2 linked regions of the Oryctolagus cuniculus genome follow. The protein of the gene in region 1 purifies or fractionates together with the protein of each later gene. This does not show direct contact. Links are inferred from orthologs where the notes say so. Each region holds a gene or a part of one and is shown on either strand. Other genes may lie near its edges.

Region 1 (3,558 bases):
CGAGGCCCCGCCCCCAGCTCAGCCCCGCCCCCAGCCTGCGCCAGGAGCTCGGGCGCATGGGGCCGGGCCCACCAGGCTCCTGCAGGAGACCCTCACGGCCAGGTCCTGCCTGCTGGTGCTGCTCCGGGAGGCGCCCCGGGCTGGCGCTGGGCCGCCAGGACCTCCACGGCCACAGAGGGATGGGGCGGGGTCCAGGGACCGCACAGCGCAGCCTGGAGGCCAGCATTGTGGCCAGGTGGGTTAAGACGGCCTGGCGGCACGAGCACCCCGCGGATCTTGGCTGCTGCACCCGATGCAGCTCCCTACGCGTGTGGCCAGCGAGGCAGTGGGCAAGCGAGGCCCGCCCCCTGCATGGGAGACCGGCTGGGGCGCGGCCAGCGCAGCGTCCCGAGCGTGACCGCGCAGTGCATGGGGCTGGCTGCCTCACTCCCTGTCTGCCGGTCAGTGCAGCGGTCGCAAAGCTCACCCTGGGGCGAGGGGGGGGCGGTGGCAGGCGCGGCCGGGGCCTGCAGGGCGTCCAGCGCCGCGCGGCTCTTCCGGGGCTTGCGCTCCGCGTCCACGGCGCTCATCTTCTTGGGGCGCCCGCGCCTGCGGCCGGCCATCTTCCTGCCCTTCCTGCTCAGCTTCTTCTTCCGGGCCTTGGAGGGGGAGGCCTTCTTCACGGGGGCCGCCCCCGCCTTCTCGTCCTCGGCCCCCGAGTCCTGGCGGGCAGAGGGGGCGCTGGGGGCGGGCCGGCGGGGGGGGGGGCGCTGGGGGCGGGCCGGCGGGGGCGGGGGCGGGCCGGCAGGGGCGGGGGCGGGCGGTGGGGACGCGGGCGGGCAGGGGGCAGGGGTGGTGGGGACAGGGGGCAGGGGGCAGCAGGACAGGGAGCGGGGGGCGGGCGTAGGGTCAGGGAGCAGGGGGCAGAGGGGCGGGCAGTGGAGGCGCACGCGGGGCCAGGGGGCCGGGGCGGCGGGCGGCTTACCGCGGGGGCCTCGGCAGGCCCGGCCGCCTTGCCCTCGGGGGCCTTGGTGGGCGTTGTGGCGTTGCTCTTGCTCTCCCGCTGCTGCCGGCGCCGGGCGGCCTCCTGCTCCTCCTGCAGGGAGAGGCCTGAGGCAGGGCTGCGGGCACGGCACCCGGGAGGCCCAGGCCCGCGTGCACAGCGCCGGCCAAGGGCGGCCTCACAGGGGCTGCACAGGGGCACCGGGCCCAGGGCCGCAGCCACGGCCGCCCTGGCAGAGGAAGGCAAACCCGAGTGACTGCCTCCTGGGCTCACCAGGCAGAGCCCGCGTTCCCCATGGGTGCTGGGAAGGGCATGGCCCTGGGGGCCACAGGCCGAAGGGCCCCGCCTCACACCTGGCCCCCCTCTGCAGCAAGTGCGCTGAGGGTCTAGGGCGGACTCAGCGGGAAGAGCCGGGAAGGGGCGGGGGACCCGGGACGTCGCTGTCTGTGGGAGGGAGGGCAGACGGCCCAGTCCAGAGCCGCCCACCTCACCAGCAAGCCCAACCGTGACCCCAGCTCACACTCACTGCTGGCCACAGGCAGAACCACACAGGCCTGCTGACGAGACAGAGCCTGGACACAGACGGAGACACGCGTGGGACAGACACACAAATGCAGACACGCGTGGACACAGACACATGCAGACACACAGGTGGAGACACGCGCGGGACACAGACACGCAGGCAGACACGCAGGAGGGGTGGGAAGGGCCCGGGGTCTGCTCTGTGGCCAAGGCTGGTGAGGTACCCTCCACTCCTAAGTCGGGGGAACGCATACAACTTACCCTGAGTTTTGGGTTTTTCAAACTAGAAAAATAGTTTTCAAGCTAAAGAAAGGAAAGCAGAGAAACGCGTGTGAGAGCGGGTCGGGGCCGCACCCAGCGCTCCGCGCCGGAGCCCCCACACGGCTGCACAGGCCCGGAGGGACGCGGCACCCGAGGCCGCGGCTGGCCGGGGGGCTGGAGCGGGGCCGCGGCAGGACACGGACAGGAGCCTGGACGGTGCGGCCGCCCCACGGCAGACGGGCGGGCGGGGCACTCACTATGGTGCGGTCGATCGTGTGCAGGTAGTAGGACACGGGCTTCCCCGTCCACGACACGGAGCCCTTCAGGGGCGACAGCTCCACCACACGCATGATCGTGCCGATGTCTGTGGACAGCAAGGGCCGCCTGGGTGCTCGTCCCCGGAGCAACCCCGAGGCCCTCAGGGGACAGGCCCCGCGTGCCCGCCCAGCCTGGCCGTCTCCCGACAGCACGGGCAGCTGTGCCCCCCCCAGCCTGAGCTCAAGCAGCCCTAAGCAGCCCCCTCAGCCGCCAGGCCTCCCTCGGGGCCACGCTGCCCCAGGCTGGGCCGTGCTGGGGAGGGGGGAGAGCGGCCTGCCCGGGTGAGGGTCCAGGGCAGCCGTCTCAGGGTGGGCGCCCACACGGCCGCTCACCGCTCAAGTTCCTGCTGTTGATCCTGAAGTTCAGCGGCGCAAAGGGCTTCGAGGACACGATTCTGCCACCTGGAACAGCGGGGTCAGGGCGGGGTCAGGGCCGGAGGCAGGAGGACCCCAGACACGCCCGACGGCCCGCCCACCGCTGCTGCACTGCCTTCTCCTGAGCCCAGCCCCCGCAGACCCCGCAGGAGGGCCCGGACCAAGGGGACCCCAGGTCTCACCCCCGCCTCGCCAACCCGGGCAGCTGGTGGGCAGGGGCCGGGGACCCTCTCCGGATGGGAGCGGCAGGAGCAGCCAGCCAGCCCACACAAGCAGAGCCAGGCCGCCACGTGGCCCTGGGGCTGGCTGAGGCCCGCGGGGAGGCAGGCGGCCCTGTGATGCCAGGGAGGAGGAGCCGGCACTCCAAAGCCAACAGAGCCGGCAGCCACGGGAGCAGCGGGCGAGGGGACGCAAGGGCTGGCGCTGGGGCGCAGCGGGCGAAGCCGCCGCTGCAGGGCCGCAACCCATGGGACGCTGGTTCGAGTCCCGGCTGCTCCTCTTCCCATCCAGCTCCCTGCAGGACGGCCTAATCCTCGGCCCTGAACCCGCATCGGAGGCCCGGGAGAAGCTCCTGGCTCCTGGCTCCGCACCAGCGCAGCCTCTGGCTGTTGCAGCCATGTGGGGAGGGAACCAGCGGATGCAAGATCTCTCTCTCTCTTTGTAACTCTCCCTTCAGATAAATAAATTCAAAAAAGAGAAAGATGGGGGGGAGTGGACACTGGACCTGGGGGCCTCACACCGCTCCCCAGCGAGGACGGCCGCCGAGGTCGCCCTGGCCAGCAGGTCCACGTGGGACACAGTGCCACCTGCAGGCTGCCCCGGGTTCCCTCACGTTCACGCCCCACGGGCAGCTGCCCTGGAAGGGCCAGTCCAGGTGACCCCCGCCTCATGGTCCACAGGGAACCGTCGCCGCCCCAGCGGGCTGGAAGCAAGCCGACAGCGGCCGCCACGCGAGTGCAGCTGCAGAGGGGGAAAGCCCTGGTCCCCGGGCCCTGCTGTGCGCGCTCACCCCACACTCGCAGACACGGGGGCTCTGGCTTCACGCTGTCAGCCCCCACGCCCACGAGCAGGCCTGCCGCCGTGCTGGGGAGGGCTCACCTC
Region 2 (4,109 bases), on another chromosome or scaffold:
AGTGTGACTTTAATCGGGCTGCCTTCATAATTCATTGCCTCTGCTTCAACAATGTGCAGTTCATCCTTGGCACCAGCGCCTAAACTGACCTGTGAACAGTTTGTAAACTTTAATTTCCAACTGTTTTACAATCCTGCCTCGGAAATCTGTGTTTAAAAATACCAAATATGACTTTTATCATTATTTCCAACTTGTGCCAACACTACCTTCAAGTTTAGTAAGATTGGCAAACCAATTTCTCATGTTCAGTAAACTTGAAGAAATACTTAAAAATGCACACATATTATACAGAACACCTATTAAACACCCACTACAAAGCTGAGTAGGTTCGTCTGGCAGACACCCTAGAGATCTTTCATGATTCAAATGAAGCAAGATAATAAAACGGTGACTTGACTTTACCAGATTACCAGGTAGCAGTGAACATGCCCAGCTTTTTAATCAAGTTTATTGATGAGGTATATACAATATCCAATCATAAAAACTCTTATAAGCAGAGAAATAGGGGACAATTAAATTGCTGAAATCAAGAAATGTTTATTTTAAAAGCTTAAGTACCGTTCTTAAAGATAACTGGTGCTCATTTTCATCATTGTCCACTTTAAAGTGATAATCTTTGTCAGCCTTTAGTTCACAACCTGTAAAAGAAAAAAGCAATTCTAACAAGCAGAAAATTAACAAAGCTAACCTTTTAAGTAGTTTTCCTCTACTTTAGCTACCACAGAGTAGGAAGAATGGTCTCTTTCTGGTTTCCTCAACACTCATTTTTAAAAATCATTTAAGGTCCTTACAAGTCTGTATTAGTTGCATTTTCATTACAGTATTTTTCAATACACTGAGACAAGCACTACTACTTCTGCAGACATATCAATAATGAAGCCTAATATATAATAGTTAATTCCCAACCATTTAAAAAACTGGAATTATCTATCTAAACTCCCAATAGTGGAAAATTAGCAATGAGAATGGTTTCTCAGATGAACAGCTTTCATCTACAGAGAAAAGTACCAACATAAAAGAATCAACTTGTAAGGGTCAATATTCCAAAGTGATGCACATTAGAAATAGAGGCAACAGACACAATCAAGGACACTTCCAATATAAAGGGCCAAAAAAAAGAATTATTGTTTATAAAATCACCAGAAACCTCTAAAAATGGCTAAGAATTAAGTCCTAAAGTGCACTACCGTGCACATTATCTACTCCCACTCCATCGGGAAACTGTTTTAATTATTGCCAGAATAAAAATTTACGTGGTTACACTTCACTCCCATTCACAATAGATACTTAAGCATGCTAGTGCTAACAAACCTCAACATGGTTTGTAAACTAGGGGTAGGATTAGCATCTATTTCCATGTCTAACCAACAAAGGGTTCCCAGAATTAAGTTCTACTGTAATTCCTTAAAACTATGCATACATAGTAGTGTGAGTTCGCGGGGGACGGGGGCGCTGTGGTTCCCAATCTCTGGTTACAACCCGAGAACGTTGGTGAACATAACAAAATCCATGCTGGACTACCTCCGCTACACCCTTCCTGGAAAAAAAATAAGCCTCACTTATGAAGCGCTGGCTCTGCAATCAAGGATTTTGTTTAAATCTGGTTTTTAAGCGCAACCTTAACCTAATTACTTCTCTGAGCATCAGACCTGTATTGTGGTTTAGGTCCGTCTACCAGCTGAGGCAGAAAGAGGACTCTAAAAAGGCCAGTTACGGTACAGTTGATGCTGCAGACGCTGGACAAAGACTTCCAGAATCCTAGTTCAATCCGCCACTACACCTATCACTTCCCGCCCAACAGTCTCAAAGCAGCCACAGGACCCCTGGCTGGGGCGGGGGGTGGGTGGGTGACAAGATGCCAGAGCCCCGGATGTACAGCCCACACCCCCTCCCTTCCCCCAACCACGTGGCAACCACGTGCTTCGGGCGGTCGCGGCCTCCTCAAGCCCCGCCGCACATCCCCTCCCCGGTTCACTGGCTGAGGCACCCGAGCTGTCTCCGGGCCCGGAACTCTGGATGAGGACGCCAGGCTGCACCCACCTCCTCCTCCAGCAGGGACTTCCACGCCCCTCCATGCACCCCCCCCAACCTCCTGTAACACGGCCTAGCAACAAGCCAGCCGACTTACACACTACGGGACAAAAAATCACGCCTGGAATCCTACTTCGCAGCCCAGGCAACGCCGAACCTTCAGACGGCCTTGGGCCATGGCCCGCTCACGCCCCAGGCCGGGGGCCGCCGCTCCTCCCCACCCCTTTCACACGGCTCACTCTCTGCTCCCAGCTCCCACCCCGCTCAGCACCAGGACGCCTGCGGTCTGCTCCCTATTCTCTCCGGCCTCCAGTCTGCCGGCCTTTTTCCAACAGCCCGGGCCTCAGTCAGACTCCCGCCGCCCCCTCCCCCCAACCCTTAAAGCCACCACCAGGCCCTGCTCGGCCTCGCTTCAACCCCCACAATAGTTACCGAAAAGATAGTTCTGGGGCCTCAGGGGGCTCATGTCCATGTCCATCGAATCTTCCATGAGGCGGAGGGACGAACTTGGGTAGGAGAGAAAGCGGACGGAGATTAGACGCCCACTGCTGCAAAGAACAGCCGCGCAGGACGGAATCACGCCAGGGAAAGGACGCGGGCTCCCCGCTAGTATATATAGCCACCAGAAATCTCGCGATAGCTTTCCAAGTCCCGCCTCCGCGCGCGTGCTCTTCAGCCCCTTCTCGCAGTACGGTCGCGCTGCTGCGCAAGCGCTCTTCAACACACTCCTCTCTACCTCTCCCCCCACCTCTTCCAGGTACTTCGCGGGCTCACACCGGGCACGCGCACTCGAAACCCTGCCCCACCCCTCTGCCGCCGTCGCCGATGCGCAGGCGCGCTTTCCCCTTGCGGCGCGCGCTCCCCACCTCCGGCGGTTCCACGTCCTCTCCGGTTCCAGCGCGTCGGCTTCGCGCCAAGAGCCTGCGCAGCCCACCCTGCAAGATGGCGACAGCAGGCCTTCGCTGTGCTGGATGCGGAGGCTCAGGCAGTCGGGAATAAGCCAGAAAGCAGCTCCATTCTCCTTCCTCCATCCCCTCGTCTCCCGCAAGCCTCCAAGATGGCATAATCAGCGCGGGATTTTGACCTGCCCGAAAGCCTGGGCTCGGAGCTAATGGCTTCCCCACAGCTAGTCTCAGGTGCCAGAGCGGGAGAACGAGTGGACGACGGTTTTTATTCTTTATTGGCCAGACTTACAGGACTCTGTGTTCTTATAAATCCGCCCTTTCTGAGGAAAAATCAACAAAGTCCTCATTTTTATGGCAACTTGGGGCCACACGGGGACCGAGTCAGCCGCCTCCGCCGGTGCAGCCTCTGGGGATGTGCACTTCCTAACCTTTAACATTCCCGGCGAAAGGAAACGTTTGACTCGATTTAAATGCAGGAACCTTAATTCGAATCTTTGGAAGGCAGCCTGGGAATTAGCATTTTAAACTACTTGACAAACACGTAAGACCTCACAGACCCTGAGCGCTGGGCTTCTTAAGGAATTTTTTTTTTTTTTTTTTTTTTTTTTTTTTTTTTTACCTCAATACATCGAATTAGGAAGTACTGTGATGGTGGCGCCGGTTTGAGGTTTGAGTCCCGGCTGCTCCACTTCATCCAGCTCCCTGGTAATGGCCTAATGTCCCAAGTCCTTGGGCCCCCGCACCCACGTGGGAGACGGGGAAGAAGCTCCTGGCTCCTGGCTTTGCCTGGTCCACACCGACCATTGCAGCCATTTGGGGAGTGAACCAGCGGATGGACGACCTCTCTCTCTCTCTCTCTCTCTCTCTCTCTCTGCCTCTCCCTCTCTGTAATTCTGACTTTCAAGTAAATAAGTAAACTTTTAAAAAAATGTTTTGGATAGATGTTTGTCTATGGTAGTATAATGTAGGTATGTTATAATTTATTTGTTCCTCCATTGATAGGCATATTTTCTACCTAATTTTACTAAAAATATTATTTAGGTAAACATCTTTGTACCTATATTTTTATGGATATCTGAAAGTAGTTTAATAGAATATAGCCTAAGAAATGGACTTCCACAGTAAAAGGATGGGTACTTAGGAATATATGTACATACACTCAGAAATACTTCT

The links. Proteins that work in one complex are often made in the same cells at the same time.
Region 2: the proteins of DOT1L (region 1) and NPM1 purify together in Homo sapiens (affinity purification with mass spectrometry; 3 studies listed by BioGRID and IntAct, with this or other methods). This does not show direct contact. The link is inferred for Oryctolagus cuniculus from reciprocal best matches to the Homo sapiens genes DOT1L and NPM1.

The regions. Positions count from the first base shown.
Region 1 is NC_091447.1:59,094,262-59,097,819, reverse strand, and holds part of DOT1L (histone-lysine N-methyltransferase, H3 lysine-79 specific), read right to left. Parts: intron 2,485-3,558; coding exon 2,416-2,484; intron 2,130-2,415; coding exon 2,023-2,129; intron 1,808-2,022; coding exon 1,766-1,807; intron 1,076-1,765; coding exon 965-1,075; intron 702-964; coding exon 467-701; intron 1-466. UniProt on the Homo sapiens protein: Histone methyltransferase. Methylates 'Lys-79' of histone H3. Nucleosomes are preferred as substrate compared to free histones. Binds to DNA.
Region 2 is NC_091437.1:58,113,743-58,117,851, reverse strand, and holds the start of NPM1 (nucleophosmin), read right to left. Parts: upstream 2,855-4,109; 5' UTR 2,522-2,854; coding exon 2,464-2,521; intron 639-2,463; coding exon 559-638; intron 90-558; coding exon 1-89. UniProt on the Homo sapiens protein: Involved in diverse cellular processes such as ribosome biogenesis, centrosome duplication, protein chaperoning, histone assembly, cell proliferation, and regulation of tumor suppressors p53/TP53 and ARF.